Alligator mississippiensis: one gene and its partner. The protein of the gene in region 1 interacts with the protein of each later gene in a pairwise test. Links are inferred from orthologs where the notes say so. Each region holds a gene or a part of one and is shown on either strand. Other genes may lie near its edges.

Region 1 (3,743 bases):
GAAATGCAGGGTTACTATCCCTTTCTTACAGATGGGAGAAGCCAGGGCCCCCATAGTCTTTGTCTTCTCAAAATTAGCCCAAGGCAGACACCTCCTCCCTGGTGCCTTTCCAAGGGTGGCTGATTGTGGATTTAGACCCAGCCTTACAAAAGTGGCTGAACACTTTGTTTAATTAGATGATTTAATTAATCCTGTTAGGCAGAGGCTGACCAGACATCTCTCCCTGTGTCTCTCTACAGCCAGGGGAGAGGACAGCTGTGGTCCGCATCTGCTCTGACACAGCTGGGGGCAGACCCCAAACCGAGCCCAAGGTCATGCAGCGAGCGAGGCAACATCCGAGCCAGGGTCAGGACCGGGGCCTCCTAGCTCCTGTGGGTTTAGCCACGGGGTCAACATTTTGGGGGCACGAGCAGAGATGCTCCTTGTCGGCGGTTGATGGATGGAGATGCTCCCAGTCGATGGTAGCTGATGTCTACCACAGCTCCCAGATGGGGCTGGAGGTGACCGCAGGGCCACGGCCCCATTGTGGGTCCCTCCGCAGGGGAGAGGGTGGCAGGCTGGGCTCCCTCCGCTCTCTCCTCTTCCAGGGCAGGGCGCTTCCCCTCCAAGCGGACCGGACCGCAGTTGGTGGAGGTTGCGGCATCATCGGGGTCTGACGACGGCCAACAACTCCCAGGTGCCTGCCTTCCCCGCGCCCTGGAGCAGAGGGATGAGACATGGGGAGGGTCAATAAGGAGGAGGCTTCAAAGCACCGCCTGGCAGCAGAGGCTAGGCACCACCTGGGGTGGATGGCAGAGATGGGGGGCACTCCTGCCTCAGTTTCCCCAGCTGTAAATGGGGACACACTGGAGACAGTCCAGTGGAGGGCAATGAAAAGCGTTGGGGGGCTTATGAGGAGAGGCTGCGGGACCTGGGCTGGAAAAGAGAGGGCGGAGGGGGCTCGCATAGCAGGGGGCTGCTCCGGGCGCGGGCAGGCGGCAGAAGGAGCAGCAGCAGCAGGGGCAGCATTGGGAAGGCTGGCCTCCCTAGGCGGGCAGGAGGTGGGATCCCCATCCTGGGAGGCTGTGAAGACCCAAGCCTCGGCCGGGAGGGCGTCCTCCTGAGCGGTGCACGGGGCAGGAGCCGGTGCGGAGGCGCTGCGCGGCCGGCCGGGGCCGGGGCCGGGGCCGGGGCCGGGAAGGCGGCGCCTGGCCGGGAGCGGAGGAGGAGGAAGGGGCGGATGCTGCTGCCGGCTCTGCCTTCCCCGCGGCGGCCCCGGCCCAGGTAAGCGGCGCGGGTCGGCCCCGGGGAGCTCTTCGCCCCATTTCACAGACGGGAAAGTGCGTCCCGGCTCCCTTCCCACCGGGGCGGGGTGGGGGGGGGGGAGCTCCCCTCCAGCCCTGCGTCTCCGGGGCGGGGGGCTCCCACCACTAGGCGTGCTGGCCTGGGGAGGGCCAGAAGCGCCCCCTCCCCGCGCGGGGTGATGCAAGCCCAGCTTCCTTCCTAATGAAAGACACGCTGCCTCCTTCCTCAGCTGGACCCCCTCCCTCCGCCCGCTGCAGGGCTGAGACCCCGTCCCCCTGCAACCGTCGCCACCAGGACAGGGTGCCCTGGCACCTCCCGTTCTCCCCCGGGGTCCACCAGCCTTCACCCCGCCGGCCGGGCTGGGCTGGGGTGCCCCGGGCAGGCAAGGAGGGGGTGACGGTGCGAGCTCTGCGGCCAGGCACAAAGAGGAGCGCAGCCAGCACATGGTTTGCATTAGCCCCCGCACCGTGCTCCTGGGCCCAGCCAGCCTGGCCGCTTGGTCCCTGGGATATCGGTTGTTTTCAGTGCATTTGCCATGGGGGAGAAGCCCCGATTCCTCCCCCTGCACCTAATTTCATTTCATTGGGAGCTTGAAATGACTCCCCTGTCTGTAAAATGGGGCTAATGCCTCCCTGCCCCACCCCCGGGCAAGCTAGCAGGCTCTGTAAAGCGCTTGGGGGTGACGGGCCAGTCACTGGCTGGGCTCTGAGGGCAGCTGATAGCCTCCCCCAAACCCGTGCGTCTTCTGGCAGCGCTGCAACTGGAGCAGGACTGGCGGGGTGTGGCTGCCGGGCCACTAAACCTTATCCGAGATAGAGGTTAGCTGGCCCCTGTGGCCACAGCACTGGAGGATTTCCATTGTCTTTAACATCCTCTGCAAGATGGGGTGCTGCTCTCATTTCCATTGCACCAGCTGAGGCCTGGAGAGACTAAGTGACATGCCCCAGGGGCCGCGGGACATCCGTGGCAGAGCAGGGAACTGACCCCAGGTCTCTGCAGTGCCCGTGGGCCTGGCCAGCTGCTCCCCTGGGTGTGTGGCATGGCTGTCATCAAGGGAGGGTGTTGTATGGGGGTCGTAGGGGAGGTAGGACTCTTGGAGGTGGGGAGGAATCGGGGTCCCAGCAGGCAGTCTCCAGCTCCTGGGGGGACTGCCAGGACCCGATGCTGGCTAGTCAGACTTGGTGTAGCTCCATAGCTGGTCTGAGCATTCAGGATCGGGAGCAGACAGCAGCCCCCGCCTATGCCCCGCAGTGGGCCACGCTGCATCTCCTGCCCTGGGAGGCAGAGCCATTCATTGCACAGGTATTTTGTGGAGATGCCTGTGGGGATTAGGACACCCATCTCGCTAGAGCGGCACGTAACTATCCCAGCATTGCCAAAGTGGCTGAGCATGTTCGGGCAAAGTTTTTATCCTTGCAAATCAAGGCAGAAAAGCCTGGGGAAAGGCCCGGGTGCCGGAAACGACCGGGTGCAGAACAGCGTTGTGCTAGGAGAAAGGTGCCACTGCCCGTGACGGGAGCACCAGGCTTGCCTGGGGCTTGAATCCATGCAGGGTTTTGTCCCAGCGGGAGGATGGTTTGTGTCTCTTAGGGTCGTGGAAAAGACGGGCTGGAAAGGACCTTTAGATTTTGTGTGGCCCAGATCATGAGACCACTCCCTTAGCCCCATGCACAGCGTCCTGCTATCCTGCCCGTGAGCGGGGTGGAAGGGGGGCCCGGAGACCCTGGCAGCAGCACCAGGAGGGCAGTGCAGGGAGCAGCAAACCCAGAGGCGAGTTAACCCTGCACAGGCTGCATGTGGCCACCAGTTGTGGTCACCAGTTTGATGTGGCGCACGCATCCAGTGCAAGCCTGGCGCTCCCGTCACAGGCAGTGGCATCCAGTTGGACAGCCCTGATCTAGTCCAGCCCCCTGCGCTGAGGCAGGACCGAGCATATCCAGACCGTCTGGCAGGCCTGCAAAGTCCCGTTTCCCTGGGCACTGGAGAAAGGACCAGCAGCAGCCGAGTCCCTTGCTCAGAAATCCCCAGGTCTGCCATTCCAGCAAGCTCTGTGCCCAAGAAGCTCTGCCCCTCTCAAGGATGGGTCCTGGATCAGCAAGGGTTAAGCAGCCAGGCTTGCTCACCAGGTGGACTTCGTCATCCTGATGATTCGGAGCTATATCGTGTCTGACCTTGCCGGGAAGTGCAGAGGAAAGCCTGTGTCTCGGAGGAGGCATTAGTCACGCTTTGTGAGCAGCCACGTCTGGCGCACGGTCGGCAGTGGCTGGACCCCAGCAGCCAGGTGGAGGGTGGCATGGGCCTGGCCATTGTTCCTGAGGTTAAAGGGTGGCGTGGGCCTAAGTGTGGTTAAAGGACCTAAAAACGGTGAATGAAAACCAGTCAGGCTCTAGGCTGATCTAGCCCAGGATCCTGCGAGAGCTCCCGCAGCAGCACATGTGGAAATGGTTTCCCATGCCTCC
Region 2 (3,031 bases), on another chromosome or scaffold:
CTCTTTTGGTGTGGACCTAGAGTGGGGGCTGGGGGCCCTACCTCCACCAGCCAGAGGCTTTCTGGTACTTAAAGGGTTTATTTTCTTGTTGCTTTTTTATTATTATTATTTTGTAAAGATTCTATTTAAAAGGAGGCATGCTGGGGGTGGGGGGCACAGCAGAGGGTTCAGTGGAGCAGAGCTGGGGGGCAGGGGGGACCCCACTGGGCCTGGCTGGGGTCTGGCAAAGAGGGTAGGAGGAAGGGTCCCCTCAGCACAGCTATGCCCCCGCCTGCACCCCCATGCTGTAGAGACGCCACCCGGACCTCCCCTCCCACCCCACCCGTGTGCCACCACTGCCGCCGCCGTCTGACTGTACAAACAGACACCTAGAATAAAGAGCTTGCTGCAGCCAGACTCTCACTGGTCACTGGGGGCTCCTGCATGAGAACCCAGGCATCCGGGCTCACTGTCCCTTCCTTCCTTGTTCTTACCCTACCCCTAGGCCAGCAGACCCCAGGTGCCTTGGCATGGACCCCACTAAGGCTACATGTGAAAGAGGGGCTGACTTGGCCAATACAAGTGTCTGCATGTGGTTTATTGCCTGTTGTTGCCCCCAACACACAGCTCTGGCTGGACCACTGGCAGGTCTTACTCAGAGGGCACGGTCTCCTGTACCCACTGCAGGTAGGGGGCATTCCCTTGCTGGATGGGAAGGGCGATCACTTCGGCCACCTCATATGGGTGCACGGACCTGCAGGGGGATGGGAGGTCAGAGTAGGGTCAGGGCTGAGCACCCGACCTTACCTAGAGCCCCAGCTTGCCCTGGGGCAGGGTGCTCGGACCCCCCTGCCCCCCAAACAGGTGCTCAACTGCTCCACCACTAGGGGCAGCTGCATCCTCCCTCCCTCCCTCCTCCTTCAGGCTTTTGCCAGATCAGCAAAAGCACTTACCGGACATATTCAGCCAGTGCTGGGATTCGGGAGCTCCGGGTTTTAATCATCTGGGGAGACAGAAGAGGGTGAGAGGGCACCTCTGGGCCCCGGTCCCAGTCCTAGTCTGGGCTCTGCACTCACAAGGCACTCACCAGCAGCACTTCGCTGTCCTCCTCTATCTTCCCCTTCCACTCGTATCTGGAAGACCAGGAGCAGCAGAAGCCAGTGAGCATCAGCCTCCGAAATACCCCAGCACCCCCTGGCCCTCACTCAGCATGGGGCTGAACAAGTCATCCCCCACTCCCAACTCCCATGCTTCACACTCACATGGATGTGATCTGCGGCATGATGTTCACGCAGGCTGCCAGGTGCTTCTCCACCACCGCCCTGCTCCACATGGACACCAATCAAGCCCACGACCCTGCTGCTGTTGCAAGGGATGGGCAGAACCCAGGTGCCCAGGCTCCCCCCCAACAACCCCAGCTCCCCCCAACCGCCAGAGCTGTTCAGAAACAGGCCCAGACCCCGGGCTCTTGCCCACCCGACCCCACATACTCTCCCCAGAGCTGGGCACAACCCAGGTGTCCCGGCTCCTGGCTGCCCCCCAGCCCAGACCGAGGGGGCACCTGGCGATCTCCTTGGCCACGGTCTCGTTGGGGCAGGTGATGAAAGCAGCCGAGAGGCTGCCGGGGGCGTAGGACTCTGCGGCCATGGAGAAGAGACGCTGAGACACCGTCCGGAGCAGCGGCACCATCAGCAGGGACACCACCAGCACCTGCCGGCCAGACGGGGCGGGGCGGGGCGGAGGTCAGGGCTGGTCCCGCGCCCCCAGGCACGGGCCCCGCACCGCCGGCTAGCCCCCGGGCAGGGGGGGCTGGTAGCAGCGCTGCCCCCCGGCAGGCGGCCCCCACGCCAGCGCCGCTGGGGCAGTACTCACGCAGCACGCTGCCTTCATGGCGGGGCGCCGGAGCGGGGGGGCGCCGTCCCCTCCGGAAGCATCCGGGGGCACCAGGCCCTGCCCTGCGGGGCAGCGGGGCAGAGCCTGGTCAGACGGCTGCGGCCGTGCCCCTGCACTGCCCCCGGGGCTGCCTGGAGGGGACGGTGCAGCGCGCCCTGCGCCAGCCCCAGCCCCAGCCCAGCGCGCCCCAGCTCCGCCCGCGGGGGACAGCGCCCTCTGCCGGCCCGGGGGCTGGGGCTGAACCCCGCCCGGCCCCGCACCGCTCCTACCCGCTCGCGGCTCCAGCGCGGTCTGGCTCGGCCCCGCCCCCTCCCCCCGCATATGACCCCAGCGCCTCCACGTGGCCGCCCGGGCCCGCCCACCCGCCCGCCACGTCACCCGGCAGGTCCCGCCCCCCTTCGCCGCACCGCATCGCACCGCCCTCCACCTAGTGCCGCCCGGCTCTGGTCCCCGGTCCGGCGTCCGGGGCCCCGGGGCTTGCCCTGCTCCAGGCCCTAGGTCTGGCTCCCAGTCGCCCTTCCCCTGCCCAACCCCCACTCCTCTCCCAGAGCCGGGTGGGGACCCAGGCGTCCGGACTCCCAGTGTCCCCGCCTCTCAATTGCCCCCCATCTGCAGCCTGCCCCCCAGCCCCCTCCCGCCTGCCCTACCCTGCGCCCCCACGCCTTGCACGCCCATGTCCCTTTGCACACGCGTGCCACACGCTGCATCAGGAACGCCTGTGCCTGCTGGAGCCCGGCGGTGCCCTAGAAACGCCCGTCCCGGTCCCCAGAGCCGGCTCTCCTGACCCACTAACGGGAGCCGTTACACAACGGCGCACGGCGGGGTCAGGCCGCCCCATCACACCCCGCCGGGGAGGGCCTGGGATGCGGCCTGGCCCAGGCCCTCTGCAGTCTCACCCTCTGCCGGCTGGCCCCTTGCCCCAGGGGTAGTGGCATTCACCCCCTCAGAGCGCCTGGCACCCTCCGGTGGCCCAGCCCCCAGGTCCTCACCGCTGCCCTGTGAGCACACGTTGCACGTGTATGCACGTGGGCATCACACATGCACCGCTGCACCCCCAACATGTGTCTGCGTCCACACACCCTGAGTGTCTTTGTCCCCAGTGCATGCTTGCCCATGTTTGCTGTTCCATGGTTTCTGATGGTGCACACATGTGATGGCA

Evidence for each region. The genes of interacting proteins can lie anywhere in the genome.
Region 2: the proteins of FBLIM1 (region 1) and CUTA interact in binary tests that used the Homo sapiens proteins (3 or more experiments, as listed by UniProt). The two-hybrid records come from large-scale screens. The link is inferred for Alligator mississippiensis from reciprocal best matches to the Homo sapiens genes FBLIM1 and CUTA.

The regions. Positions count from the first base shown.
Region 1 is NC_081836.1:2,953,565-2,957,307, forward strand, and holds the start of FBLIM1 (filamin-binding LIM protein 1), read left to right. Parts: upstream 1-944; 5' UTR 945-1,263; intron 1,264-3,407; exon of another isoform or gene 3,408-3,639; intron 3,640-3,743. UniProt on the Homo sapiens protein: Serves as an anchoring site for cell-ECM adhesion proteins and filamin-containing actin filaments. Is implicated in cell shape modulation (spreading) and motility.
Region 2 is NC_081834.1:64,880,757-64,883,787, forward strand, and holds CUTA (protein CutA), read right to left. Parts: upstream 2,185-3,031; 5' UTR 2,142-2,184; intron 1,935-2,141; 5' UTR 1,870-1,934; coding exon 1,852-1,869; intron 1,690-1,851; coding exon 1,541-1,689; intron 1,302-1,540; coding exon 1,242-1,301; intron 1,113-1,241; coding exon 1,067-1,112; intron 983-1,066; coding exon 933-982; intron 734-932; coding exon 631-733; 3' UTR 557-630; downstream 1-556. UniProt on the Homo sapiens protein: May form part of a complex of membrane proteins attached to acetylcholinesterase (AChE).